3 linked regions of the Astyanax mexicanus genome follow. The main gene of each other region encodes a partner of the protein of the gene in region 3 in a complex. Links are inferred from orthologs where the notes say so. Each region holds a gene or a part of one and is shown on either strand. Other genes may lie near its edges. The genes, in order: wasf2, cyfip2 and nckap1.

The links.
Region 1: nckap1 (region 3) and wasf2 share a complex: the UniProt entries of both Homo sapiens proteins name them as parts of the WAVE2 complex. The link is inferred for Astyanax mexicanus from reciprocal best matches to the Homo sapiens genes NCKAP1 and WASF2.
Region 2: nckap1 (region 3) and cyfip2 share a complex: the UniProt entries of both Homo sapiens proteins name them as parts of the WAVE1 complex. The link is inferred for Astyanax mexicanus from reciprocal best matches to the Homo sapiens genes NCKAP1 and CYFIP2.

The regions. Positions count from the first base shown.
Region 1 is NC_064410.1:50,555,447-50,566,377, reverse strand, and holds the start of wasf2 (wiskott-Aldrich syndrome protein family member 2), read right to left. Parts: upstream 4,863-10,931; 5' UTR 4,717-4,862; intron 1,919-4,716; 5' UTR 1,894-1,918; coding exon 1,761-1,893; intron 1,658-1,760; coding exon 1,523-1,657; intron 499-1,522; coding exon 345-498; intron 1-344. UniProt on the Homo sapiens protein: Downstream effector molecule involved in the transmission of signals from tyrosine kinase receptors and small GTPases to the actin cytoskeleton. Promotes formation of actin filaments. Part of the WAVE complex that regulates lamellipodia formation.
Region 2 is NC_064417.1:49,386,768-49,397,403, forward strand, and holds the start of cyfip2 (cytoplasmic FMR1-interacting protein 2), read right to left. Parts: upstream 5,241-10,636; 5' UTR 5,084-5,240; intron 1-5,083. Other genes in the region: itk (tyrosine-protein kinase ITK/TSK), read right to left, coding at 8,427-8,492, 9,649-9,806. UniProt on the Homo sapiens protein: Involved in T-cell adhesion and p53/TP53-dependent induction of apoptosis. Does not bind RNA. As component of the WAVE1 complex, required for BDNF-NTRK2 endocytic trafficking and signaling from early endosomes.
Region 3 is NC_064418.1:49,916,430-49,927,112, forward strand, and holds the start of nckap1 (nck-associated protein 1), read right to left. Parts: upstream 4,874-10,683; 5' UTR 4,654-4,873; coding exon 4,546-4,653; intron 1-4,545. Other genes in the region: dusp19a (dual specificity protein phosphatase 19a), read left to right, coding at 6,610-6,832, 8,060-8,106, 8,207-8,359. UniProt on the Homo sapiens protein: Part of the WAVE complex that regulates lamellipodia formation. The WAVE complex regulates actin filament reorganization via its interaction with the Arp2/3 complex. Actin remodeling activity is regulated by RAC1.

The sequences.
Region 1 (10,931 bases), on a different chromosome or scaffold from region 3:
GAAACACACTGATGTGCATTAACCGTAATCTGACTGATTCTCATACAAATCCTCATACACAGCAGATGGACTAAAACAGTAATGCTGAAACAATGTCATTACTGCACACAAAGATCATAAAATGTAAATGTGATCCAAGTCAAGATTTAAGATCAATAAATATCTACCTTTAAGGGACAACTGAAGGACTAACAACATTTTCTGCAGAACCTCCCATCTTTGCGGTTTCTTTAACCAAACACTGCCCCCTTATGTTTAAAATAATAAATGTCCCCAAACAGTTCAGTGTGCCTTGTCTGTCCAGATTGTGACACTTTGAATGCTTCTACAGAGTGATGATATACCTGTAAACACTAAGAATGCTGAGTGGAGGAGGCTCGTTGCAGGTCAAGTAGGTATCCTGTACTGGCTGGGGCAGAGAAGGTCGGCTGAAAAGCTGCTGATCCTGGGTCAGATTAGAGCGGAAAGCTTTCCGAGTGGTGATGGCTTGCAGAGAAACTATGCAAGGAAACAATGCATGTGAGTGGAAATGTGAAACTGAAACAAAAATAGTCTAACACAGTTGTGCTAAAACAAAAACTATAATAAAGCTGAATAACATATTTCCCAAATTCTCAGCTGTGTAAAGTTAGAAATAACCAACAGTTATCTGGTTTGGCTGCTGTAAAAGCTTTTACACAGAATTTTTTATTTGGTTAGTGATTCATGTATTTGATGTAACCTATAATTACCCAGATATCCCGCTGAATATAAAGTATCCAAGTATCAAATTGCTTCTCAAACAGGTTTATTTTACACAGAAACAAAGTCAACATATATAAAAAGAACTTAAAGTGTTATTCGTCCTTGCTGTGTGAATCGCAACAGATATCTGAGCTTTTAAAACATTCAGACTGTTCCTAACAGACATAGAAGCTGGTTTTGTTATTGTTTATACTCTTATTGAACTAGGATGTTTATTGAATACCACCCATCATGTAACACAGAAAGTTCTGGTTAAGATGGTTCCCCTTTTCCAGTTGTAAAAACAGGTTTGGAATTATGCAGTTGTTAAGTCAGCAGAGCACTGCTCACTTATATACACTATGCTACACACGACTGCTTTTTAACTGATCTTCCATTTTGTTCCTAAATGCTTAGACTTTTCAGTAATTCCACTCACAGCTGACGGTGCAGTATCTAAGAGGAAATAAAATGTCACTAGCTGGTTCCACAATGGAATTTAGTAGGCTCTTTAAAACCTTTCTTTTTACTATTGTTTGAAAAGGCAGACTGCATTAATAAAACACCTGACTGAACTCATTGACCAGAAGGTATGTCCCAATGCTTATGTCCATTTAAGTTATATATCATATATAATATTTACAGAATAATTCTAGTACATAGCTCATCAATCTAAACCACACAGGCCTGGGAATAGTTTGATTTAATTCAGATCAAGCAGAGTAGATGCAGACCTGATTCTATTTGTTTAACCAGTCAGTCTCAATCTTTAAATGTGATCTCCTTGTGTTGTTTTTACCTTCTTCCTCTTTAGGGTCTAGCTGTGTGACTTTGACCTGCAGTTTGTCCACCCGCTCGCCAAGCGTGTTCACTCTTTCTGCAAACAAGCTGGCCTGGACAAACAACTCGCCAAACACATCCTCTGCAAATTTGCCTTGGATAGAACACACAACAACACAGATACATTAAGATATGCAGAGTCAGCCACAAACAGTCAATCTGAAATTCGAACAGGAGTTGCAGGGGGAGCCACTCACTTAGGGAGCCAAGTTGCCGGATGATGTTGGCAAGTGTGAAGTTGGTTACACACTCCAGCTCACTTTTCACAGCGGCGGGCAGAGTCTGGCGGCACAGGTGCCGTGGCTCGATGTTCCGCATCACCAAAGGCATGATGACAATTTAGTCTCTCTCCTCCCTGGAGAACAGAAGAGAGTAAATCAGACAGACCACAGGCTTCACACCCTCATTTCTGGTAATTCTTTATGGATGCATGCTTCATGGTCCTCATGCTCGCTTGTTTTTCCATGCACACATCCACATGCACCTTTTCCCAATGCAAGAGGAAACACATAGCCAAAACTGCTGGAGCTTAAAGCAGAACCAAAACTGCTACATGCCTTCCTTTTTAGGTTCTATTTTTTATTTAAACAACTAAACAGTCTAGAATTGCCTGTCCGTTTCATGTTGTTGTTAGTCTAGGCCCACAAATAGATACATCTCTTATTGTAATTGCATTCACACTCTATCAGTGTAAAAAGGCATTTCCTTCTGGGTTTATGTAAGCTATAAAAAGCAATAAATTTCCCTATGTATTGTAGAAAGTTTACCTTTTCTACCGATGATTAACAGAACAGCAACACATCCAGAATGAATATTTAAAGAAATAATTTAATGTATTTTCTTGCCACTGTCATTTAACTATGACATTCATTCATATTGAATATATATATATTATAATATATATGAATATATAAATTTCTAATCTGCATAGAAAGGATAAAAGCATTATGTTTTTAAACTCCAACTGACACTGCACCTACTGAAAAATCCTGCTGACAGTTCATTAGTGTTCAGACATACTCAACACGGTCCAGATTCAGATATACTATATATACTAGAAATACTATGGTAAATAGAAATGTTTAGGGTTACTCTGTACACTGTCTCATTGTTGGACATACATACAAGCACATAAAGAAGGAAGGTCAGGGAGACTCTCTTGTCAGGACAGCATTATTTAACACTAAAATGTAATAAAACTATGAATAGAATACTAGAAAAAAATAGAAACAAGCCTTTAAAGTAGTATAATTAACATAAAAAAGTGTGATATGACTGATAAATATATCTATAAATGTAACAGCATATTTTCAGACAGTGGCACTTGATTAGTACCTTTTCACAAGCACATGTTTTCCTGTACAGTTTAGACCCAACTCTAAACAAACACACAATGCTTTAATCCCCAAATGTTGCAAAATCAGGTGGTGACTAAATTCCACTGTGTTGTGAAAAAAACAAACAAACAAAAAAACAATTCAAGCTAAAGCTATTGCCCATTGTGCTGGTGCTCAAATCAAGCCAAATTAAATTAGTCTTTCATGGTACAACTAATAGTAATCAGTAACTCTGATAATCATATTTAAAAAAAAATAAAGGACCAGCTAAGAGAGATTACAAAATATGTTGTGAGCTTGCTCACAGGTGTGTATAGGCGTGTTCACTACACTAATGGTATTAAGGTAAAGGCCACATTCCATCTGTGCCTCAAGCACAAGTATGGTAAATATGGTTATCTTATATTGTCTTGTTATCATATAGATACATACAGAAATATGATGTTTTTTTAGTTTTAATGTGTAGTCTAATATATACTGTTAAAAGAAAAAAATGGTACTGTTGGGTGTAAAGCATGAAGTGCAGCAATACAGATGTGTATGTGCAGACCAATGTTGTGCAATAGGTAAAGGAAAAGTGAGTAAAATTATGGTAATGTGCATTTTAAACCAGAATGTCTATGCTGTAAATGATCCCCAACACAACAGATAGCACATTTACTCACTAAATAATAGTCCACATTTAAACCTCTTCTGGTAATTTAAAAGGCATATAAACCCTACGTTTAGATGTTTTTCATTTTAAAGCAATGGAAGTCACGACTGAAATAAATGTTGACTGATCCAAAAAACAATCATCAGATTAGTCGACTAACAAAATAATCATTAGTTGCAGCTGTAATCAAAATGTCAAAACATCTTAAAAGTTTGAGGTTTTACGTTAGTGACTAGTGCCATTCACATATTTTTCATCTTTCATAAAATACACTTTTTATTTTATTAAATATAACATTTAAGCACCATAACTGTCAGCTGATATGGGTAACTATCAGAGGAACATAGACACAGCTGCATGCCATCAAGTCCTCTGACCTTCCTCTTTTAGAGGAAGTTTACAGAACTCTACACGAACACACACCCAGATGTAATTAAAAAAAACTAATAAAACAAACGATCAAATCTTTAGGGAGGTAGCTACAAACAACCCAAATAGCAGGCCTAGGCATTACAGTAGCTAGTGGCTAGTTAACCTAGGTAGCTAATCCATACTGAGATTTACTGCATATTTACAGCAGACTTTAGAAGACCTGGAACTAGCTTACAGCTAACTGGAAGTACTAGCAAGCTAGATGAAGGTAACGTTAACTAAACGTCCAACAGAAGTTTCATTTATTAAGTGACAGCAGAAGTCAGATATAAAACAACGCTAAATGTAGTTACCTAACTCACTAGTTGACTACAGACGTACAGTATCAAAAACGTATCGAAAGGATTAAATAATGGCTAACGCTAATAATAAACCAGAAAACTTAGCCACAGTATGGAGGTAACTTACAGTCAAGTCTTCAGCGAAATCAGACTCGTTTTGAAAGAGTTTAGACAGATAATAAAGAGATAAAGGTCTGTTTTAAGCACTTTAAAGCATTCTGTAAAATATTAGACGTCAAACTATTAGACAGGGCAAACTTCTCAACTTTCTGAGAGCAAAACTCCCAGGGCGGCCCACCCTGAGCTCCACAGCAGGAAGTAAGCAGTTAGCAGCTAGCCAGATCTTTGGTTAGCTAGGTTAGCTTAGCCGCCTAAACAGCCCAAAATACAGCATAAACTCGCTATTTTTCTGAATTAAACCCTGAAAATACTTCCTGAACTCTCTTACCCGAGGGTGAAAGATACAGCTCCTCTCTGCTGAAGTCGAACAACCACTTTAATTCGCTAACTACCTCAACATTACTGAAACTCGCAGCTCAACTCTCTCTAACCGAGAAAAATGTCCGCATCTGCCGTCACCAGAGCAATCGGGCGCTGACTTCAGAGGCTCGGATTTACTAACTTTTCATTGGACGGCTTAAGTAGCTCCTCACACGCAATTGGTTGATTCAGCTGTCAGTCTTGTACAGAAGGGGTGTGGCTGTGGTCGTGGCTGTGAGCAGAGCAGCGCTCCACCCGTTTGGGCTGAAAACATCTGTTCCCGGCGGAGTAGCGCGGCCTGGGCATTCCTGACCCGCGGGCCTGCTCCAACACATCCGAAATATGGAGAGATGCTCGCTTTAAGCTCCACAAATCTCTGCTTAAAGGTGTAGGCACGAGAAACAGGACAGCACCCTGTTGTAGGGCTGGGCGATACTGTAAAAAATAAAAATAATCTCGATATTCTTTAATTATATATATGATTGATTTTCCATTGCTATTAAGATTTTTAATTCTTACATAACAAATTTAGCATGTTAAATTTGTAAACAGACATCATTATTTAAAGTGATGCGCAAGTTATTGAATACTGTATATGTGTAAAAAATGCTGAAGATGTTTTATCACTCTGTGGTGAAAAGCAGGCTCTGCACTGGGTGTGGAGCTGGACTCTCTTAAAGGTTTCAGAGAGGAGGATGCTGGGAAAAATACTCAGTATTTTGGACAATTCCTCCCACTCCAATTCACCCCCTCTTACAGTTTTTCTCCATTGGTTTGGCTCATTTATTGAAACTGAGATGACATTTACAAAATAATATGGACAAATCCCCAAACTAACTTGCGGTTCCTCACAACAGAATGGCATTTCTCATTGCTTTCATCACATTTCAAATGCTTTGTACATGTCTCAAGCACTTAGTACATCTTTGCAAATGGTTATGTACAAGTAGCCTACACTTAACACAATCATCCTACATTTAGCACATTTTCCAAAAGAATGCATCTTGTTGGTCTATCCCAATTGGTTGGTTCTCAGTGTTATGGTTGTTCTCTCCAAAACATGTCAGCACAATTTCATCGTATAAGTCATCATCTGCAGAATAGTCTGCTCAATTCTCAAAATGAGTTAAGAAATTGTAATTCAATACAGAACACATATTTTGGAACATTTCATAAATTCATGATAATCAGGTGATTAGGTAACAGGTGAAAGCAGGTTTTGATGAGTGTCCCACATTACAGGTGACCAATCCATCAGTTTGTTACCTGACAGGTTGTCTATGATTTTGAATGCTGGAGAAAATTTCGTCAGTGCAAGGTCCGGGCCATTTTTAACTATATCCTGTATAATTGTGTGTACATTCCTGTCTCTTTGTCGCACTCAGCGTGTCTTTAGTTTCCGTCCGTTCTCGTTTTTCAGCCAGTTCTCCGGCTCCTGATCTCTTTATATAGAAGTTTTTCCCGGCCGCGTCCCAATTCACTGGCCAGGGCAGCAGTCTACACAGATCTGATTGGCAGAGGAGAGAGAGCATTTGGTGATTTTACACCAAACGAGTGGTCTGTGAGTTTACTGCGCCGCAGAGCAAAGACAAAAAAAGTTCCACCACTCTCAGAATAAAGATATTTCTGTGTAGTGTATCGGTTTGGGTCCGCATTGAATAACGTCTGGGTCCGGACCCGGACAGCGGGCCGCCTATTAGAGACCTCTAGTGTAGAGGATGGCTCAGGCATTTACCACGCTTCTTCCCACAGTGCATTGCTAAAGAACACATCAAATGCGATGTTAATGAAAATTTATGGCCAAACAGACTGCAGCGGATGGATGGCCAGGAAGATGAGGAGGGTGACCAGGAGAGAGAGGGGAGTGACACAGAATAGTCAGAATGTTACTGTAGTGCATTTGTGATGCTTGACTGTTTTCTTTTACATACTGTGTTTTGTTTTGTTTTTTTCAGGTTTTTGTATTTTGTATACATAGTATATTTGATACATTTTCCTTTGTATTTTTTTTCTACCTACAGTAATGTGTAAAGATGTACTTGTAAATAAAAATAGTTACACTTTCCTCAGCAGATTGAGTGCAGTGTGTGTGGTGTGAAAATTGTATTCCTTTAGCTAAACCTCTGCTGTAAAGACAAAACAGCTAAGCATTTTGACTTGCAGTACTTACACAATGCCAAAGGGACAATGCATTTTGGGGGCACTGATGATTTGTGTGAGAAAGGAAATTAGTTTTGACACGTGGGTAAACTGTTTTTGGAGTGATATGGGCATGTGATGAGGATCCATGTAGTTGTGCTTTACCGTACAGTTTATTTTGACAGGAGGACGAAATGAATGAAAATGTGCCAAAGCAATTGAGAAGGATCTATGCCATTTTTATGGTACTGACTATTTACATGGGAGAAAGACTTCATTTTGAAGCAAGAACGAACATTTTGGGAGACATATGACATTTTGCTGGTTATCTGAAGTGTTGTGAAGAACTGTAAGTCTGTTTGGCCAATTTACCTTATAGTTATAGGAATGTCATCTCAGTTTCAAGAAATGAGCCAAACCAATTGAGAAAAACTGTAATGCCACAGTGAGAACATATCAAACAACCAAGAGTATGTGCAACATCACTCCTATAGAACAGATACATAAATCATGGACTAGTTCAGAAGACTGATCAGAAGGTGTTATTATTTATGTATTAAGTATTTTTTTACTCTTGGCAGAAGCAACTTGTCTATCTACTGAGTTTCCCTCTGGTACCTTCTATGTGTAAAGATGTACATTTTGAAAATGGCATTAACATTTGATGAATCAACTGAATTTGATTAAACTCCCAGTCCTACCCTGACCTCCATATATAACATATATAAAGAGTACCAATGTAGAACAGAATAATAGTCAGAGACATAAACCAGTACATAAATTTAACACTATTTAATAAATATTTTTCTTAATGAACTCAGCAAAAATTATATTGGAAAAAATAGATAAGATATATGTGAATTGAGATATATATTCTTATTACATTTCTTAAAATAAGCAATTGCATAATCTCAAAACGGGTTAATTAGGACTTAAATCAATCAAAAATCGCTTATTTTGCGACCTAAATTTGGACACAATAACCAGCATAACTTGCCTGGTCACTTTTTGTGCTCATGTTGAGTTTTATATTATGAGTTTTATTTTATAAGTTACAAAATCATAAGTAAAACGTATTAAGATCTTTATTACTGAAATAAGCAAAATTATCTTACACTTACAATGCTTAATAAAACAAAAAAAATAAGATTTATTGCCTTGAAATTAGATATTTTCACTTGCTAAGATTCATTTTTTTTGCAGTGAAACAATCAGCTCTATGAGTTTAATGAAGCGTTTCCTCAATTCTTCAACCCATTCTCTTAATTTAATAAATCATATTATAAAACAAGTTCACATGGAGAGGCTTCAGTTTAACTGAGCAAACAATCTATTGCTTTTTAAATTGCTAACAATTTATTATTGCTTACTAATTGAGCAGGTAAGTGCCTGACAAAAAATGTTGAAATCACACAGTTGCTGATTGGCTATGCTTGGCTTTTTCCATCAAGCTTAATTGAGGAGAAGCTGACGGAAGCTGGCAGATAGTATGTACCAGATGGATTCAGACATGTTACTTCTCTAGTGATCCTCGGTAAATGTAGCACACCAGTAATCACACATAGAAATACAGCTTTGTATCTGGCTGTAAGTGATCCAGTGAAGAATGTAAAGTATGTGAAATGTTTGAAGTGGTTATCAGATTTAGCATAACTACTGCATATCCTGCAGCTTGTTTATAGAAAGAACTATTACTTCCAGTTATCTATGAAGAGGGCTAGGGGTGGGGGGTAACTCTGTAACAATAACACTGATAAGGTATGTGTGTTTTTTTTTCTTTTTCTGATATTTTTATCTGCCATAAGCCTGTCCAGTGCCATTCATCCACAATAAGTATGTGAAGAACCCAATGTAAATCTGATGGCACGTGGTACACAGCAAAACAGCTACAGCAACATTATATCTACAGAAATGTGGGCTGCTAACTCAGAAAGCACTGAGAGAAAGCAAGGCCTTTGGAGTTCATAAACAAAACAGCTGCAGCTTCAAACTTAGCCACTAGATGGCAGCGAACACCACACTCAGAAGACAAACAAAAGAAAGTGTCACTGTATTAATAATACCTAATAATGACAAATCATAATAACAAACTCGGTCCTTTTCTAACAGAGAAAAACATATTTTACACAGTTAAAATAAAAGAACTTGAATTTATTGTTCCTTAAGCCCTAACACACACAGTATCTGCCTGTTCAGTTTACTGTTAGCTGCACCCATTCATAATACATGTTACAATCAGGAGTGGTTCAGCCTGAATAGCTTTCTGAATGAGGTTAGTACAGAGCAGCCAATCACAACAGAGACAATTTACTTACAGCACTTACAGGCCAAGTGACACATTTTTTGTCTCTAATTTAACAAAAGAGCAAAAAGAAGCACAGCTTCAAAAATAATAAAACATAAAACACAATATTTATTAATATTGTTTTTTGGACATCACCTTGAAAAACACCTTTAAACAATTATTTATAACAGTTAAAGGCTGTTCTGTTCTTGTTGTAGAAAATGTTACACTCTCTTTTGCAGAAGACCTGTAGATCTGTCTGTCCACAATGTTTTTACTATATAATTAAATCAAAGCATTTCATAATATTGGCACAATATTACACGTTATAGCACGCACCTCAAGTGTATTATAGTGATTATACCACAGTTCCATTATTGCTGTTTATTCAAAGATTTGAGGTAAAGAGGACAAGAAAATATGATCTGTTTGGTTATAAACACTTTGTGAGTTAAAATAGTTCCATTGCTGCTCTGTTTGTAGCTGAGCTGTTTGGCTTGTAAGCGCTGCATCGTTGCTGGGTTACCTGTATGTGGCAGAGTAATACATTGAGAGCTTCGTTTACAGTGCATTACCTGCTGTTATTGGCACTCATAGAATGCCTCTCAACCAATCACATTGCAGGGTTGGAATTAACTGTGGAATTATTTTAACTGTAGCATTTTTTATAAATAATGGTGGCTGGACAACTTGCAGTGAGATTTGAGGTATTGTAAAATACATATTTTTTTCTTAGCTTCACTACGTTTGTATTTAGGATTCGCTGGTATTTTGTGTAATTCATTCTTTTTTTTAATCACGCAATTTTGACACTTGCAGCAATACAACTTCAGTTTATGATACAATGCAACCACCCCCATGCTTTACAGTTGGCATGACATTCTTTTCATTAAATGTGTTTTTTTTCTTTTCTCATTTCTGCTTTGTTTAGATTTCATTAGTCATCATCCATAACTTGCCGCATACTTTCAAACCTTCAAATTGAGAGTAAGCTTTAATTTGATTCAGCTGACAGTTTCTAATTACAAGTAGTGACATGACTCAGGCCTAAATCGCTAATCAAGATCTGAGACCTTGTCAAAAAAAAACCTGAGCTTTAGAAAATTTTAAGGTGTCTGAACATTAACATGATTTTTTATGTTAGAAATGTTAGAAAAGGCAGAGTTGCTTTGCACTGTATTTAATGATTTTGCTATTAAATGATTAGCTACAGAGGCTGTGTTTAATACTTCTTAATAAAAAACATCATTATTTGATTTCCAAAGATTTCCAAACAATTGCATAACACTGCACATTATTCGTAAAGGCATGTTAAAAAGCCTGGTTAATTCTAAAGGTATAAACATAGGCATTTGGTACATAAAAACACACAAATGTCAGAATAGAAAAAAATCAATTGGAAGAAAAATATAGGATATGACTTCTTCCACAAATAATAGTCTTCAGTAACAGCACAGAAGAGGATGCACGTATAAATCAGACCTTAAATATATACTTTATTCTGTTTGTATGTATCCATTTACTCTGCAGACTCTCTAAAGCTTTGTCCAGTTTATGGGGAGTGTTGATATACCACTACCTTCAGGGCTCCATTTTTAAAGTTCAAATTTCAAACCTTACTAAAGTCTGAGCTACAGATGTCCACAGACCTGTTCTGAACCCCTCCTGTATTGTCTGGGCTGTGAGTTTCAGGTTGTGTGAGAAGATGAACTTTCACCCCAATCTGAGCTCCTAAACTCTTAACTCTCACCATAAAGCTG
Region 2 (10,636 bases), on a different chromosome or scaffold from region 3:
CTGCAGGGAGATCACAGGGTTCTCATGAATTGAGCCACTGAGAGTGTGACATGTTTGGGTCATGCCGCTCAGTGAGTTTCCTCTTCCAAAGGCCTGCAGCATAACACACACTAGAATTGGGCAGTGTGATGATATTTTATGGTATTGTGTTACATTTCCTTATCATATTCAGGGTTCCAGATTAACTTTTTTCACAAGCGTCCCAGAATTGTCCCAAAACCGTCTCAAAGGTAACCAAAATACTTATACTTTATTATTTACCATTAATGTTGTATTTGTTTGTGTACCATTCAACAGCCATAATGCCATTAATTGTTTTGACTTTCTTGTCCATATGCTCCTCCTACTCTTGCAGTGTATCTGGAAAGAGACTCTGCACTTATAATTAGGAAAACTCAGTGATATTTCAACCAGCAAGCTGTCTCAGAAAACTCCTGAAAGTGTTGCAAAAAAGCTTTAATCCTGTCTCTGGGACGGTGGAACCGTGTTAGTCTGGAACCCTGGTATTCACAATATGCTTTAATAAGCATATCATGGTTATCATCAATGCTTAAAGAACACTAACCCAACTAAACATTTCATTACTATTTTCACTGTACTTGTCATGAAAGAGTATGTGAATAGCACCTTTTTAGGAATCTGGCACACTGCTGATGCATGTTGTGTGTATGTCAAAATATTGTTATGAACATTGTGCATCATAAAAATGTCCTTTAATGTTGTAATACACATTTTTTACAATTTCACCCAGCTCTCTCAGTTTGTGATTACATACACCACAGGTGGTGGCTTATATATTTTTCATATTTCAGATTCAGAATTATATCACATTGAATAAATCCGAAAAGAACCAAATCATTGAACTCAGGTGTTGCTGAATCAATTGTGTCGACAGGTGTATAATAATAAAAGCAGCAGCTAGTCATGCTGGGACTGCTTCTACAAACATTAGTGAAATAATGTGTGGCACTCAGGAGCTCAGTGAACTCCAGCACTGTGGTACAGTGATAGGATGCAGCACCTGTGCAACAAGTCCAGTCGTGAAATTTCACAACTCACTACTAAATATTCCACAGCCAACTGTCAGTGATATTATAACACAGTAGAAGAGACTGTGTCAGTGTAAAATAACAGAGCGGGGTCAGCGGATGCTGAGGAGCATAATTCACAGAGTTCACCAACTTTCTGCAGAGTCACTACACCAATCACTACACACCTCCAAACTTCATGTAGCTTCAGAGTTTATCACTACACACCTCCAAACTTCATGTAGCTTCAGAGTTCATCACTACACACCTCCAAACTTCATGTAGCTTCAGAGTTCATCACTTCACACCTCCAAACTTCATGTAGCTTCAGAGTTCATCACTACACACCTCCAAACTTCATGTAGCTTCAGAGTTCATCACTACACACCTCCAAACTTCATGTAGCTTCAGAGTTCATCACTACACACCTCCAAACTTCATGTAGCTTCAGAGTTCATCATTACACACCTCCAAACTTCATGTAGCTTCAGAGTTCATCATTACACACCTCCAAACTTCATGTAGCTTCAGAGTTCATCACTACACACCTCCAAACTTCATGTAGCTTCAGAGTTCATCACTTCACACCTCCAAACTTCATGTAGCTTCAGAGTTCATCACTACACACCTCCAAACTTCATGTAGCTTCAGAGTTCATCACTACACACCTCCAAACTTCATGTAGCTTCAGAGTTCATCACTTCACACCTCCAAACTTCATGTAGCTTCAGAGTTCATCACTTCACACCTCCAAACTTCATGTAGCTTCAGAGTTCATCACTACACACCTCCAAACTTCATGTAGCTTCAGATTAGTTCATCACTACACACCTCCAAACTTAATGTAGCTTCAGAGTTCATCACTACACACCTCCAAACTTCATGTAGCTTTAGATTAGATGAACAACAGCAGAGTGTATAGAGACTCATGAAATGGAGAGTCGTCATGGCCAAGCAGCTCTATGCAAATCCTCACTAGTAATGCCCCAACACCAGGAGGGTGAAGACTAGCACACGCCTTCTCCGTCACATGTGAAGTCAGCCACCGCCTCTTTTTGAACTGCTGCTGATGCAGCATTACTAAGTAGCATCACAGTGCGCTCGAGGGTAAGAGCAGCAACTGGGTTCTGATACATCAGCTCACAGACGCCTTGTGCTGATCCACATCACCCACCCAGAGAGAGCAAGACGAATTGTGCTCTCTCTGAGCTCTGGCAGCCTATGGCAAGATGCATGAACAGGTTTCACGCCTCAATCTGCCGATTGTTTGTATGAATTTGTAACACACTACAGGTCCATCAGTCAGATCACTCTATTATAAAGACAAAGTGTATTAATACTGGACACAATGCCGTACGCTGTTCCTTCAAGAATGATAGCAGAGTGGAGAATGCTGTTCAACTTAGCATCGGCCTCAGCACCGGACTGGATTACATCATAGATTTATGATGGATTTCCTTCAGGCTATGAAATTACACTGAGGCTCTGAACAGGCCGGCTACAGTGAGTGATGTACTGACTGATGACTAACAAGCAGTGTATTCATACTCTGTGCTAAGGGCACCGTCTGACAGCCGATGACCAGCTGATAACCTGTTGAAATATCATTTGTTTCTCATCGTCTCTGTAATGGAGGCTTATAGGTTGAACACACTGGTGAAAAATGAGGGATATTATGCTTATTTGGTCTCAAAAGAGCATGTCTCAGGTTAGCACAGTTCATAACAGCACTTTGGACCAGCAGTGTGCCATATAGTATTATACATAATAATATTGCTAACCTTTTTAATATCGTGAATGATATTACAACCTAAAATATGGTGCCATATCACCCAGCCCTAATTATCACATTAGGGTACTACTTTTTGCAGTTTTTAGCAAAAGAAAAATTCACACTGTTCTCATTTCCCATTATATATCTACTACAAACAGATTATATCTGCCCAGTATCATTTATTTTACTTTAATCTTGGATATATTGAGATATTTGGAGTGCATTATTATTAGTATCATGACATTCTGGATTATTGACTTCTGTTACAAATCTGATAAAGTTCTTGTATTTTTTAATATATCCGTTAGGGGTGTGCTATATGTATGCAATAGTAAAATTGTATTTTCATTTTGTTGCAGTAGTGTGTTATTTAATTTTTCTTTTAATTTAGTGTTTTGTCTTATTGGCAAAAGTATCGTTATTGTAAAAATACCATGAAATATTGTGCTATTGTTTTAGGGCAGATAAACCTTTCACACAACTAAATAGATCAATATTTCCTGTTTCCCTTCTGCCACCCTATTATCACATTACCTGATAAAATTAATTAGTTCTCAGTCAGCATGAAGTCGCAAATCACAGCAAAGAATATGGTCACTTTTTTATGGTTTACAACACTGTGGCCAGAAATTCAATCTTATTAAATATAACTAAATATCCAACGAAAGGTAGCACACACTGATGACAAGTAAGGAAGGGGTATTTTTTGTGTAATATACTAAGAAATGTTAGTTAGACATTACCTAATTTTTAGTGTGCCCCAGCTGTTCAGTTTAGGTATCGGTCATTTTTACTATTAAAATATGGGGTAAACAAAGTGAGTGCAAATGTGTAGCTTGTGTAGGTTTGTGCCATATCTCATTGTAAAAAACATTATCGCAAAAAACTCTTGACATGATAAAAAAAAAACTCAAGAAAGCAGTAGTTAGCATTATTTTTGTTTCTATTTTTCATTTTGTTACACCATTATTATATAGTGCAAATTCAGGGTCTTGGCAAGTTACTGTTTAGGAAATATACAAACAAAACATCACTTTCTCTAAATATAGCACAAAGTCCAAAAATTCGTTTTGTATTGACTGTTTTGTATTTATTTTGATAAGTTTTTTATTATTATTATTATTATTATTATTATTATTATTATTATTATTATTATTATTATTAACCATTATTATTTTATACAAATTCAGGGTCTTGGTAAGTTGCTGTTTACAAAACAGACAGGCATTTATAACGTTAGATTTTTATTTAAGTTTCAACTGAATGTATGATTTTATGTTATATTTATTATTAGAATTAACTCAAAATATCGCTTTCTTTTAATATAACACATTTTTTTCCAGGAAGTCCAAGATTTCTGCAATTTGTGTGCACTAAATATGCTGAACTTGGTAGATTTCTGTTGTTACATTACATTATTTTTGTTATATTTCTTTATTTTGTTACACCATTATTATTTAATACAAATTCGAAAGTGAAATTTATGAAACACGTATATTTATGCCAAATTGTATTTTCATATGTAATATTAGAATTATTTAAAACAACACTTTTTTATTATAACCCATTTTTCCAGAAGAAGTGCAGAAATTTGCTGTTTAAATAGGTTAACGTTATAAAAACACAGTAACAGCTAGTTACGTTAGCTAGTTAGCTTAGCGTTAGATTAGCTAGCAACAGCAGTAACCAGCTAACCTAGCAACCATATTACAGCCCACACTGAGAAGAGCCACCTTAATATAACCCATATATCTAACAAAACACACGCGTTAAAGCTATTTCTTATTATTATACAGCAAATAAATACAAATCTGCATCTAAAACAGGCGGAATCAGTGAGAAAACCCAGATATTTATCAGTATTTCTTCGTATGGAGGCTCTGACGACAGTCCTCCCCTCACCCCACCCATAACGGGGAAGGATGCTTCTTTCAGTGAGGCAGCGGAGCAGCAGCACCACCGCTGATACTACCGCCGCTATCACCGCTTCTACTGAATGAACGGATGCCTGGTTCACACAAGCGCCTCTATATTATACTTATTATAAAACCACAAACCCGAGAAACGCGCTAAACAAGCAGAAACACCAGCAAACAGCAGGACTAGACGGGTCTCAGTGATAAAAAATGACGGCGCATCGCGAACTACAGCAGCAGCAGCAGCAGGTCCCCTCCTCCTCCTCCCTCCCGCCGAGCCTCCATCATCCCGCTATCTATCTAACCTCCTCCTCATCACCAGACCCAGCGCTTTAAACACACACACAGCCCAGCTCACAGCCTACCCGCAAATCTCATGTCCGCCCGAAACCGAACGGACCGGCCAAAGCGCAACTCGGCTCTCACACAAGCCGGGGGAGGGTGCCTCTCTCCTGGATCTCCACCGACTGATGCTCCGGCTTCAGCCCCGTCCGCTAATCCACCCACCCCGCACACAAAGAGCAGAAAATGGCTGCAAGTGCTTTTCTTAAAGTGACAGAGGCCCATTTATCTAACATGAACTATGCTAAGCTAATCTATGCTAAGCTAACGCTAGCTTAGCTGGGTACCACTTTAAAAAGCTCTTTTATAAAGGGTTTATAAATACTTATAAAGCAGTTTATTAATGGATATTAAGTAATAAATGTCTGTTAAAAACTTTATTCATTTAACTTTAATAACATATTAAATGACTAACGTTTTTCTGTATTATTCAATTACACATGTTAAGTTATAGTCACTGTTGTTCCTTCTATTTAGGTGTTGTAAGTTACGCTTAAAAAACGCCTTTATAAACTATTTATAAAACCTTAATAAAGGAGTCTAATTTTAAAGTGGTATCCTTAGCTGCCTCTCTGTGAGTGAGTTATCATTAGCCAAACAAACAAATTATAAATACTGGTGTTTATTACTGGTGTTTTTTTTTTTTTTTTCAATTGCTAAAACATAATTTTGTAAACTAGTCGGCTGGTTTTATTAAATACTAAATACAATTCACAAAACCACCCAACACCCAAACTACCTCAAACCCTCATAAATCATGAAATCTAAAATATTTAACACTTCTACTCAGTGATTAAACTCCTGCATCCAGAATGCAATGGATGCAAGAAAGTTTTTTTAGGCTTTCTTGGTCACATGACATTGTGTTCAGTAGCTCCTCCATTTCCACTCGCTGTAGTATTTTTACATGGATCTCCGGATGTGCTTCCGGATGGGACTAAAATTACTGGAAGAGAATGGAGTTCAGCAAACAGTAGGTAATTCAGTACATAACAGTAGGTAATTCAGCCTGTAATTTTCTCAGACGACGTCTGAGAAAAACACATACATGGTCGTTCCGGACGGGAATAAAATCACAGAGGAGCCCCACCATGACTCCCTGAGAAACAAATCCCGTCCGGACAAGGCATAGAGGTGGGCGATATGGCCCTAAAATAAGATCAGAATATTTCATGGTATTCTTGTGATAACGATACTCGATATGACAAAACGCTAAATAAAAAAAAAATCAACAATACACTACTGCAAAAATTTTAATTAAAATGTATTATTGCATATGATATTAAATGGGCATAGCATGGCAAGTGGGAATAAAATAATAATAATCCTTTTCTGGATGAATTTGTTGAAGCAAATAAACAGTCAAATATGCAGAAGTGTGTCTCTATAGAGAATATTCTTTTTATTATATAGAGAAAAAACATAGAGAAAAATAAATAATCATATTATTTGACCAGAAGTGACTGACTTTCCACTGTAATGGTTAATATAGCATAATATAGTGTGTATTATACAAAACTCACTTTTTGCGTCAGGAATCATATGCTTCTATGTACCGATTGGATGTTTCCCTAGCTTCTTATTGTGACATCACAATAAGAAAACCTGCAGAGAACCACCCTGGCACCATTCCTGAGAACCTCTGACAGTACACAGCAGGATTAGGCAGCAGACTTTGTCTGAGTGAGGGCTCTGTACCCACTGCCTGCACAAGCTATGTAAGATATAAACACTCAGTGTATGTTTTGTATAGACCATATACCTATTCTAACCTGTGTAAAAAGAGGTCCCCTTTAAGCTATTGTAGATCACATCATTCTCCTATTAAAAGTCATTTGCTTTGGTGTCATTTTGTTCCAGTGAGTGGTGAAAGGTTTAGATAATAACTGATAGGGAAATTGAAAAAATGAAGTAGCTGTCTGCTTGAATATTTCATGCTAGTTCATTAGCCTACAACAGAGCGGATAACCCCACTGGAAACACATTCAATAAAATATGAGGTGAGCCGACCATGTGCTCTGGGCTGTTTGATACATAGTGAGGCCTGGCAGCCTGTGTGTGTGTGTGTGTGTGTGTGTAACCCTTGTGTGGTTTCCACAGTAACCAAAGGAGGCATGTGTGTGAGGGTGAGTGGGTGTGTGTATCACCATGGGCTTCTATAGTAAGTCCATTCGTCTGGTCATCCTGTTCTTTTTAAAGCGTGTGTGTTTGTTTGTGTGTGTGTGTGTGTGTGTGTGTGTATGTGTGTGTGTGGTCACAGATTAAAACATGGTATATTTGTCTGATTAGGGTTTTTTTGCTTTTATTAAAAATAAAACATGGTATTAAAATGACTTATGATACATAATATTTGAACCAACAGTAAAAAATATAATACAGTAAATGAAGTAAATAATACAGTAATGAATAGTTTTGAGGCTGAAGCTCTATCTAGTTTATTAAATAGCTTGTGTTCGCCCTCTAGAGCAGAAGAGCAGAAGTGTTTTAATGCAGCTACACTACAAGAGTTTATACAGCAAATAGGTTTAGCTTACAAACACACCATTGATATACGTTCTAACTCAGTATTCTAGTGCATCTAATGTCATCTGCTGGTGTTGATCCACTGTGTTTTTATTATCAAGTCTAAAGTCAGTGCAGTTTAGTTTTCACACAAAATCTTACAGCGCTTCATGCTGAACCTCTGCTACTGACAACTTTTATTGAGATGTGGATTTCATTTTCCAGCAGGATTTGGTACACTGCCCACACTGCCAAAAGTACCAAATGGTCTAATATAATATTCTAATTTTCTGAGACACTGATTTTTGGGTTTTATTGTCTGTAATCCATTATCAATAGTAATAGGAGAAATAATCACTCTGTGTTGTATCTATAAAATACAATATTTAAGTTTCACATTTTGAACTAAATTACTGAAATAAAGTAATTTTCAAGGATAGTATACATTTTTTTTAGATGCACTAGTATACCAATAAAAATTACAATTGAACTAGTAATTAGCATTTTTAACTAGTAAATGTTGTGACTGCAGACATCTCCTCTGTAATTTTGACTTAGACAAACTCAGATCAGTTTTAGATCAATTAATATTATTATTAATAGTTAAAAAAAATTATATTATATTATTACAGTGTACATTATACAAGTTAGGACTTTATCACTGGTGTAATTTTAGGCAAAAATGGCTTACCATATATTTATCTACTAAGGCACCAAAGGCTGATCCATTAGATCAAGGTTGCTCAGAAATATAAAAAATGTAGAAATAAATAGAATTTACAAATAAATAAACTGCTATAAACTGTACAATATATCTATATTCAGGTTTCTGATTTGTGTATGAAATTTAACACAATCCATGGCTCAGAAGTCAGCAAGAGAGGCCAGCTGATGGAGGAGCAGAGCGAAGGACGGCCGGTCTTCAGGTTTCTATTAGAAATAAAATAGAATTAAATGAAGACATGCCGTTATAATAATACAGTTAATACAGTAGATTAAACAAGACAAATGCCTCACAAATCTGCCAAACTCATGCTTCTACTGTGATGCTGATGGCCTTTTCTGCTCTCAAGCAATGGAAGCATTCAGTCACTTTGGGCTCCTCAGGCACTAGGTACACTTTTAACACTTTCAGACCCTCCATCCACTATTAAGGACATTGTGTTGTTAATATTTGTTTTTTAAGTTTATAATAACATATCAGAATAGACCAATTAAAAACTTTTCCAGCCAATAAAACAGCCCCACCCACCTCACTGGAAAACAGCTGTAGTAGGGCACGGCAGCACTTGAGCCAAAAATGAAAAATTAAGGGTTCATTTGTATTAAATTAAAGTAAGATCAATATCAACAAGTAACAATGTTAAAAAAAATATTACCATGCCTTGGAAATAATTTAGGTCTAGGCATTCTATGCCCGAAAAACGTAAGTTTCACGTAAAAATGGTGCCATGCATACAAGGGCATTCAGTGGGTAAAGATGCATGCCTTCCGTGCCTACAAGCTCATTCAGTGGAGGATGTAAAATCGTGCACAGTGCAAAACATATATGCCTTGAATGCCGAAAAGCACAATCGCTGTGTAAAAGGCATGCCTTGTATAAAATCAGGTGCCATGCATAAAAGCCCATGTCCTGCTTAAAAACGTGCAGCATGTGTGAAAGCACATGGCTCACATAATATCTTGCGGCATACATAAAAGTGTATACCCTTCATGGTGAAAAAGCAGGATTTGTGCGTAAAAGCCCATGCCTTGCGTAAAAACGTTCATCGTGCATTAAAGAGCATGTCATTCCTAAAAGGCGTGCGTAAAAGCGCATGCCTCACATAAAATTGTACGCCATGCATAAAAGTGCATGCCTCATGTAAAATTGTGCATAAAAGGCCATGAGTAAAAACACGCGTAAAAGTGCAAGTCATGTGTAAAAGCCCATGCCCTGATTAGAAACGCACACCGGGCATAAAAGCCCATGCCTCACGTAAAATTGTACGCCATACATAAAAGCCCAAAAATGTGTGCTGTGCATGCCAGAATTTAAATCTACTGTAAAAACCCTTAGTGATGCCACTGAAAAATCCTCACTCACCTCTTTCCAGCACCACTGCATCAGCTGGTAAACGGTTTCTGGGCAGAGGCGGGGCTGCAGTAACCTCTGTCCGGCGTTCAGGGACTCGATCACCTCCGCGTTGGAGCGATACTCGTAGGGCAGCCGCCCCTCGCTGTAGATCTCCCACATCAGCACACCTGAGATTACCAAGACCAGTTAAATCAATAGGAGCTCATACTTCAGGAGGAGGACATACTATACTGAATATCATTTATCATCAAAGTTGTAATGTTTAATATACAGTTCAGATATATTTACTGCATTAGTAATATTTAGTATGTAATAAAAATACACAGAGCTTAAGGAGGTGAAGGAATAGTTAAGGCAATATTGATTTATCACTTACCTCAGATTCAGTCTTAAAAAATTAAGTACATAAGAATAACACTAATATTCTAAAAAAGTAAATGGTAAAAATAAAAACAAAAGTTGAATTAGGAAAAAAATAAAAATAAAAGGATTAACTGTTGGCAGGTCAGTGTATATGCAAACAGAAATACAGCTCTGGAAAAAAAATAAGAGACTTAAAAATGATGAGTTTCTTTGATTTTACCAAATTGAAAACCTCTGCAATATAATCAAGAAGAAGATGGACGATCACAAACCATCAAACCAAACTAAACTGCTTTAATTTTTGCACCAGGAGTAAAGGCATAAAGTTATCCAAAAGCAGTGTGTAAGACTGGTGGAGGAGAACATGATGCCAAGATGCATGAAAACTGTGATTAAAAACCAGGGTTATTCCACCAAATATTGATTTCTGAACTCTTAAAACTTTATGAATATGAATTTGTTTTCTTTGCATTATTTATGGTCTGAAAGCTCTGCATCTTTTTTTTGTTATTTCAGCCATTTCTTGTTTTCTGCAAATTAATGGTCTAAATAACAATATTTTTATTTGGAATTTGGGACACAGAAATGTTGTCTGTAGTTTATAGAATAAAACAACAATGTTCATTTTACTCAA
Region 3 (10,683 bases):
GTGTGTGAGAGTGAGACAGATAGAGACAGAATGGATGAAGCCCCTGCCCCACATCCCTCTGGCTTTTATACAGAGATCTGGACCGACTCCCGCTCAGCTCCAACAGAGCCAAGCCTGTCAGAGCGGCCTAAGAACCCTAACACACACACACACACACACACACACACACACTATTCTCACAGTAATGTACTTAAAGCTGAGCTCTTCAGCACTGGTGTGAAGATCGTTTTAGAGCCGAGATAAAGAACTAATTCTCAACTGCACTGAGATTCCCCCTCAGAACATTCTGTAGTAACGGGTAAAACATCACCACTGCCGAGTACGGGTAGAAACGGGTACGATCAGGGAGGATATGGAGGAGTATGGGGTAGGCATGGGTGAGAACAGAGTGGGCACAAGTGGGTAGGGATGACTAGGCAAAAGTATGGATGGGTAGGGATAGAGTAGGCATGGGAAGATTATTAGTAAGAATGGATGAATACGTGTTGGGAAGGGGTGAGTATATAGACAAGCATGGACGTGTGGGCAAAGGGTGGGTATGGATGAGTATGCAGGGCATGGATGAGTATGGAGTTAGAAGGGATGAGTATGAGGTGGGCAGGGAAGAGTATGGATTAGTACGGGTTGGGAAGGCATGAGTATGGGGTTGGAAGTGATGAGTACGGATGAGTATGCAGACCATGGATGAGTGGAGTGAGCTGGGATGAGTACGGAGTGAGATGGGATGATTATGAATTAGTACAGGCTGAGAAGGATTGAGTATGGATTAGTATGGGATGGGAAGGGATGAGTATGGATTAGTTTTGGATGGGCACAGATGAGTATAGAGGAGTATGGGCTGGGAAGGAATGAGTATGGATTAGTACAGGCTCGGTAGGGATGAGTATGGATTAGTGTAGGCTAAGAAGGGATGAGAATGGGCTGGGAAGGAATGCGTATGAATTAGGACGGTGCTAGGAAGGTATGAGTATAGAGGAGTATGGTCTGGGAAGGGATAAGTATGGATTAGTACAGGCTGGGAAGGGATGATTATGGATGAGTTCGGGCTGAGAAGGGATGAGTAAAGATATGTGTGGGCTGAGTATAGATGAGTATGGGCTGAGAAGGGATGAGTATGGGCTGGGAAGTGATGAATATGGATTAGTACAGGCTGGGAAGGGATGAGTATATAGGAGTATGGGGTGGGAAGATGAGTATAGGGCTGTATGGAGTATGGAGGGATTAGTATTTTAATAATTTAACTTGATCAATCAAATTTAATCTGACAATATAGATCCAAATATTTGTAGAAAAGTACTGCCAATACAATATGGCCCTCTGGAGAAGATAAACATAACCATCACTAATGCTCCCTCACGGAATACAATCAAATCCTCACAGCCGTGTGGTGTACAAATGTACACCTAAATGTAGAAGGTTTGTGCTTAAGTGCTTAAGCCTAAGTCAGCAGTCATATTTAGAAGCTCATACTTTCTGCTGACTTGCCACAGGCAGTAAGTACAGATCCCTTCCTCAGACGAAGTCTGCTGGTTAATCCTGATGTGTACTGTCTGAGGTTCTCAACCAGCAGACCAGAATATCACAAAACTCTTCCAGATGACTGGGATGTTTTTTTTTATTTCTGATTTTTTAAAACTACTTTAAAGTTGCACACATTGCTAAAACAGATATGCAAATGCACACACACAGCTTGTCCAGTCCTTGTAGAGACTATTATATTGTACTGCCAAAAGAATAAGACTCTGTAAAGAAGATAACCATGAATCTACTGCTACCATGCAAAATATCCTGATAAGATAAACACAACAGGCAATACTGAAGCTATTAAAACTTATTGAGGTTTACATGTTGTACAATTAGCCAGTAACATAAGTATTAATACAGGCCTACTAATCATTATAATACTGGAGAACACTAAACTCACATTTCTTCATGTTATACTCAAAATCCTTACATATTCACATACTGCATTATTACATCAGACATTAAACTGTACACATCTCACCTCTACTACAATATTTCTTACATTTTTTTTTGTTTTATAGTCAGACAGTCATCAAAGTATCTGACTACTAGTTGGATTACTGTGAATTACTGTATTAATTTGACAAATAAACTCCGATATGATGCTATAATACAGTTTTCTCAGTATACTGGAGATAATATATACACTGACAACATTTGTGCCTTATTGACGCAGCATTTTCCGACCATATATCATCAGTAACTCAATCAAATACTGAAAAACACACCTTATAGCATCACAATGTCCAACCTGACCGTATGTACTTCATTCATACTTCAGAATCAGAACTAAATTACAGCAGCTTACAATAATCTTAGTTCTCAGACGACAAAGATGGACGAAACTGAGAGAGGCATATACTGAATAATTATACAACATTCATTAAATGCAATAATTGCAACTCATTATGATTGGTGTCCACTAGCTACCGTTCATACCACACACTTAAAAACAACAAAAACTCTATAATCATTTCAGATTACTATAAAATGACAAACCCCCACAAAAATCAATCATGGCATGGGTAATAGTAGGTATGAGTGATTAGGGGTACAGTTGGGTTAGCATCAAGAAATAGGGGTGGGCATGGAGAGGGTATGTGTAATTGGGGAGTGTATGAATGATTTAGGTGACTAGTAGTGGGAAAGGTATAAGTAAACACAAGGGAGCAGGGATGAGTAAGAGTATAGTAAGTTTAATAATGTGTTTAATATTGTGCAGCCCTAGTATGATGAGTGGGTGTGGATTAACAGACATGGTGGGAAGGTGTAGTAAATATATATATATAAGGTATACATGCTTAGGGGTACCGTTGAGTTGGTATGGAGGAAATGGTGTGTGCTTGGGGAAGGTATTACTGATTAGAGGATGATATGGATAATTGCAGTAATTAGTAGAAGGGTTTTGTATGAATGGACACAGAGGAGTAGGGATGAGTATAGCGAGCGGACACAGAGGAGTAGGGATGAGTATAGCGAGCGGACACAAAGGAGTAGGGATAAATGTGTGTATAGTGAGTGGCACAGAGGAGTAAGGATGTATATGAGAGGGTGTGGAGGAGTAGGGATAAGTATGAGTTGGTGTGGAAAAGTAGTGATGAGTATGAGTAGACACAGAATAGAGGAGTATGGATGAGTGAGTAAAATGAGTGGGTGTGGAGGAGAAGGGATGAGTATGAGATTAGTGAGTGGACACAGAGGAGTAGGGATGAGTATGAGTGAATGTGGAGGTGTAGGGAGGGGTATGAGTAAAGTTAGTGCGTGTGGAGGAGCAGGGATGAGTATAGCGAGCGGACACAGAGGAGTAGGGATGAGTATAGCGAGCGGACACAGAGGAGTAGGGATGAATGTGTGTATAGTGAGTGGCACAGAGGAGTAAGGATGAGTATGAGAGGGTGTGGAGGAGTAGGGATGAGTATGAGTGGACACAGAATAGAGGAGTAGGGATGAGTGAGCATAATTAGTGGGTGTGGAGGAGTAGGGATGAGTATGATTGAATGTGGAGGAGTAGGGATGGGTATGAGTATAGTTAGTGGGTGTGGAGGAGCAGGGATGAGTATGACTGGACATAGAGGAGTAGGGATAAGTATAGTGAGTGGGTGTGGAAGGATGAGTGGACACTGGAGTATGGATGTTTGCGAGTATAGTGAGTGGACACAGAGAAGCAGGAATGAGTATGAGTGGGTGTGGAGGAGTAGGAATGAGTAGGAGTATAAAAAGTGGGTGTGGTAGACGAGTAACAACAACAAATCAACGTCTCTAGGTGTTTGATATCATTATGAAGAAAAACCACGCGGACTATCATTTAAATAAAACCACATTCCCCAATAAACGACACTAAAAGCATATTCCATTAACAATTTAAGCTTATAAACAAACAAATATAAAACATAACCCGTAAACTACACCACACGCCTTCACCAGCGGCCAGATACTAGCTAAATAGATAGCAAACCATTAAAGCGAGTGTTAGCGAAACTGACACCATTAGCGTTAGATACAAACATACATCTAAAATGAGCCATAACCTGTTTTTAGACCCACTGTCCGTTTAAAAAACGTTATTAAAATAAAGCTAAACGTAAAATAATTATGGTAAAATAAATAATAAATCACATAGCTAGCTAGCTACATAATATTGACTAGCTGACGTTAACGTTAGCTAACTAGCTTACACAACGTCAGCTAGTAACGCTATTATGATTTTCGCTAGTTTTTAAAGCAGATTTATGGACAAAAACACTACATTCAGCACGAAATTGTAACGTTAACTATAGCAATAGCTAGCTAATCATTAATTTTAGCTAGTTAGCTTAGCTAATAACAGCGCACTGAGCTCGGCCTCCCCGCAGATTCTTCGTTAGCTATGCTAAGCTATGCTAAGCTAATCGTTAGCTATCGTTCTGTTGAACGGCTGAATGGACCTGAGCGGCTCGGCTATAGCTGCGTGTATGAAGCTGTAGCCGGACCCGGGTCCGGTTTAACCGGGTTAAATCAGTGCACCGCCCCGCTGTCGCTCACCTTCTTGATGTTGTAGATGCGGGTGAGCATGCCGAGGCCCCGGTCGTTGAGGATGGTGAGTTTCTCGGCCAGCTTCTGCTGACTGGGCTGCAGTACTGCCCGCGACATGGCGCCGACACAAAGCTCCGCACCGCGCTGAATAAAGCCTCTCTCGGTCCGTCACCGCGCGCTCTGTAGTGTTAGGGAACCGGGCTTGCGGCTGGTGCTGTTGTTTAGTGTTCAGACAGGCCCATACTCCGGGGCGGACCGCTCCCTCGGCTCGGCTCGGCTCGGTTCTAGGTGTTGCCCTGCCTGTCGTCCTGTTTCCTGCAACAGCAGCGCTGCAGGGAGGAGCACGCACGAAGGCTCGCCCACGATCCGAGCCGGACTTTACCGAACGCTGCCGATTAGCCTAGCCGAGTGTTTCCGGAAATTGCCGAGCTGTATTAAAGGGCCTATATACATGTAAATGTAATATACAACCCTGGCATGGGCGGATCTATCGGGGTGGCACAGGGTGGCAGCTGCCACCCCAGATTTGAAAGAAAAGTTATTATGGCCAATTTGAAATTTACAAGAGCAGATTTCCTGCAGTAACTGCAGTAACATTAAAATTAAAGCCCAGTGCTAGTCTAGTTGTAATGCTGATTTTGAGCTTATAAAATCTTATATTTTTATAACATATATTGTTTGCTAGGTACAGAGATGTCAGTTACTTAGTAACACATATTCTAATCTGTCCATTATTCTAGTAACGAGTAATCTAAAGTGTTACTATTTCCAATCCAATAATCAGATTAAAGTTAAATATCCAAGTAACTGTGCGTTACTATTTTTTATAATTTTCCTTAATAAAAAAATATTTTAGCGTCCGGCTGGTCACATTGAAAGGATGGACGAGAAAGATGTTTACAGTCGTTGCTTTTTTGCTTAAATTTACGATGGTTGCTATCGGCTGCAACCACGCCAACATAACAACAGGCTAGCGATCTAACAACCTAACAGGCTAAAACTAGCACTCGGGCTGCACACAGACCTCTGACATATGTCCGCCCCTGAGCCCTGGAAAAAGTTTCTTTGATTTTTACCAAATTAAAAAACCTCCGGAATATAATCCAACGAAAGATGGATGATCACAAGCCATCAAACAAAGCTGAACTGCTCTAATTTTTGCACCAGGAGTAAAGCAGCATAAAGTTATCCAAAAGCAGTGTGTAAGACTGGTGGAGGAGAACATGATGCCAAGATGAATAAAAAAAAACTGTGATTAAAAACCACCAGGGTTATTCCACCAAATGTTGATTTCTGATCTCTTAAAACTTTATGAACTTGAACTTGTTTTCTTTGAATTATTTGAGGTCTGTAAGCTCTGCAACTTTTTTCAATGTTCATTTTACTCAAACGTATACCTATACTATACCTAAATCAGAAAAAACTGATTCAGAAACTGAAGTAGTCTCTTAATTCTTTTGCAGAGCTGTGTGCATATATATATATATATATATATATATATATATATGGTTCTTGCATGCATGCTTCTTTTCACTCACTGAACGCATCCTGTCCAGCAGGGGTAAAAAAAACTGCCCGCCCACACTAAAAAACTGATTGGCTGACTCACAGACTCTTTGCAGAGAACAGGTCAATTAGAAGCCTCTCTGTTTTGCATCCGATTTGATTTTTGTATTATTTGTATTTGTATTATTTTTGTAATATTTGATTGGTTACGATTAGTCACAGAATTCGGTTGTAAAAAATTATATTATAGCATAAAATCCTTATTCCATCTGTGAAACACGGTGGTGGGAGCATCATGCCTTGGCCCGTTTTGCTACATCTTGGCATGGATGACTTGCCATCGTTGATGGAAAACTGAATTCTACAGTCAGTTCTATCCTACAGGTGGCAGCACTGCTCTGAAGCGCTCAGGTGTTCATCATGCCCAGGTAAGGATGACCCTTCTCAGTTTTCAGGCTGTAAAGGAGGCCAGCAGAGCGAGGTGGAGCAGAACGAGGGACAGGCCTGCTGCGGAGACACCGGGACGTTATATTCTGCTTTACTGAGGAACATCTACACACACATGTGATGCAGTCGCTCGCCCAAGAGATCAAATCCTTCTCCAAGACCAACCTGAGGAAACAATGCACCCGGGTGACCACCCTGAGCGGCAGGAGGATTATTGAGACATGGAAGGGGTCCACGGTGCATGTGGTGGAGGACACGGTGCAGCCGGAGAGCGCCTGCGGATACGTACAGGACAACACCTGGGACCTGCAAGTGGGACTCATCAGACCCCATTTACTGCTCGGTGAGGGGGGTAAACATAGCCTATCTGACTTCAGCTGGTTTATTTATAACTGAATAAACCAGAAAAACTTAATTTACACCTGTCTTATTTAATTTATTTAGTTTAATAAGATATACAGATGATTTTGTGGGTCATGCAATAGTTACTACTACTATATTAATCTGTAATAGTCCTGTTACAATCATTAAATGTTTATTATACAATATACTGACTCATAAATTATTATATTTATGACAAACATAATAATAATATAATGATAATAAAACTGTAGCTTGTGATTATTATCTATATTCAGGCATTACATGGAGGGTCTTACACTGTGACAGATTTCAATTTATGCCACATATAATAATAAGCTAATCAATAAATAATAGTAAATAGTAAAAAGAGAAGAGACCTTGAGATTAAGAAATTCATTAAATAATGTAGATAAATAAGTAAAACAAATAATAAGAAATAGGCTGCATTACAATAGTAATAGTAGTAAAGAATAAACACACATTTTTATTGTAATTTTATGACCAATTATTTCACTTCTATAATGATATACTGAAAATATAATAGCATGATAATGCAATTATACAGCTTTTATTAAGGATATTAATAATCAGAAAAAAATATTCATAAAAAAAGTTTAAATATCTTTTTAATTTAATATGCAAGACATATAAAAGAGAGAAAAAAACTAAAAAACCAAGCTTATTCGCATTAACATGCTCTCCTCATTAAATAAATACAACGACCAAAAGGCCTCTCACTATAACTAGTTTTAATTTAATGATAAATTATTGGAATATAAGATATTACTGTCAGTTTCAGATTGTTTTGAGATACAGGTATTAAATAAATAAATAGAACTATATATAACATATAGCCAAAAACATTGAAAACTGGATATTTTACATGTCAATATAACTATCTATAATTTTCTATAGGATAATATATAATGTCCCAATTTTTTATTTAAATGAATGATTAATGAATATATATTTTGTTATATTTTGAATATTTTCTAAATATTTTAAATAAAACTAATAAAAATGTGACATACCAGCTCATTCACATTAATGTGCTCTTCTCATAATAAATAAACACAATATAAATCCAGCAATTATTGTTACAGGCCTAATTTCTACTACACAGTATATGCTACATGTATTTACTAAATTAACTATTAACTATATTAAATAATATATGTGTCCTCATGGCGTGGCGTTTAAATTGCAGGCTCACAAGATGCTGCCCACGACTTCGCCACTCTGAGAAAATACAAGGTACCATATTTACTGTGTATTTTCTCTTATTATTTAGCATTATTAAGTGTTATATTTGTATTTTTTATCTTAAAAATATATATTTTTGTGTTAATTTCAGGTCACACACATACTGAACGTAGCGTACGGTGTGGAGAACGCCTTCCCCGACCTCTTCATCTATAAAACACTCAGCATACTGGATCTGCCAGACGCTGACATCATCTCCCACCTGCAGGAGTGCACACAGTTCATAGAGCAGGCCAAGGCTGAGGTACAGGATGACCTGAAACATATATGCAGTTATACACACTCACCAATACACACCTATACACATATACACACCTATACACACATTTACACACATGCAGGGCTTGTTAGGGCAATGACTTCCAGTTTCCAGTCGTTGTTAGGCAAGGTCAAGTGATGCAAATTTTAGAGCTTTATAAATATTTACTAGTTTTTGTCTGCTTTAGAAAACTGAAAACATTTGGGTTTTTATGTTAAAATATGAATATAAGACACAACATATCAACATATCAACATTTTAGCTTTTATTTCCAGGTATTTACACCTGCATCTGATACACGGTTAAAGGTCTCAATCCATCGTTTTTTAATTAACTTTATTTATTTATTGTTTTAAAAATGTCTAGTTGTGTGTCTCTAGTATGAATGAAAGTGCTCCGGTGATCCGGTATAACACTGCTTTAGTCCTGTGGAGGAGTGGAGGTGATGTTGGCTCTTGCTCATGAATATTCATTTATGCAAACATATCGCCTCTGATTGGCTAACAGCACTGCAAAACCAGGAGGGAGCAAGCAAGATGGACAACAGTTAAAATAGAGACATTTTTATGCTAATAACAGTCTTTGTAATGTTATATGTTACTTTACAACATGTGTAATAATGCCCTGCTAAGTGCAGTTCAGCCACTGATCTAGACTTAGAGTCTCTGTAAAACACCAAATCCACTGGAGATCCTATTTAAACCTATAGTTACTTACAGACAGAGGTGGGTAGTCCAGGTCCAGAAAGTAAAAATCCACCCCGGATTGCATTTCAGAAATTCAGATCAAATGCAGGCAATTTGTCAGCTTCGACAAAATCGAGCCAAAATCAGGCTAAATTAGTCTGATCCGGGCATTAGAGAAGAAACCAACATGAAATCAGAGCCATTGGAGCACAAATATTGGTCATAGCCAGTACAACTGTTTGAAATGACCTGAAGAAGAAAGTCGTCATTGGTGTACTGAGTAACAGGTAGATGTCGAACAGGAAGATCAAGGAAAACCACAGCAGTTGATGACAGAAACATTGTGAATTATGTGAAAAGAAAGACCCTAAAACAAATGTTAGTGACATTATCAATGACCTCCAGAGTGATGTGGTATCTCAATCCACTGTTCCCAGAAAACTTGATAAACAGAAGTACCAAGGCTTCACCAGAAGATCAAAAAAACACTATTCAGCAAAATGAATGGAAAGCTGGAAATGTTCAAGACGTACATGAGCTTCTCATGATCTTAAATATACCAGCTCATCTGTGAAACACAGTGGAGGTAGTGTCATGGCTTGGGCTTGCAAAAAAGCATTAAAAGCCTTCAAAAGCATCACAAAAAAAATGTTTAGAGATGTTATCAGAAGATGTTATCTTCTGATCTGTGCATCAGATCTAGATGTAAATACCTCAAAATAAAAGCTGAAATGTTGATCTTTCGTCTTATATTTGTGTTTTAATGTCAAAATATTTTTAGTGTACAGCAGAAATAATGGGATCGGCTCACTGTTCTAATACTTCTAATACATCTAATACACCAACATATAGATTAAACTAAGTGTAACATATCAACGCTTTTCTTTAAGTACACAACAGGTTAGTTAGTTGGCTGATTTGTCATAAAGAAAAAGCTGATATTTACCGTCATAAAAAACAGCCTTTTATCTGTTTGAAAGGAGACCAAAATATGAAACATTGAAGGTTTAATTACCATTTTAGAAACATATTTTACATCGCTTTTAAAATCTGATAAAAGACTCATAAACAGTTTTCAGTATTTAACTTAATAATGCACAAAAAACGCTTAATTTTTCGACTTGTTACGGCTACTTCGCCTGCGCAGATCTCCACACTGAAGAGAGACTATTATGCTAAACCTCCAAAACTCTCGGCACAATCAGCAATCTGATTGGCTCTTTTTGTTTTGAGGCGGGACTTTATCCTTGACTAAACTTCATGAATTGCATTATAAGAGCTCTGATTAAAGGGATATCCACAAATATATAGACAATATATTTAATTTGAGTTTTTACTTTTAGCCCTTATGGTCCATTCATTCAGTACTTGCTCATGATTTAAAGTCATACTATGATATAATGGGCAGTATATTAATATTTAGTGTACTTACATGCCAATATCATATTATAAAGATTAGTATACAGTTAAAATAAAATTAATTCCAATTCTAATTGTAATTTTAGAGCATTGATCCATCTATTAAAAAAAAATAAAACAACCAAAAAGTTGCCAAAAAGTCAGCAACAACCAAAATCTATAAATATATATTTATTTGTCCAAATAGTGATGATTATTAAAAGA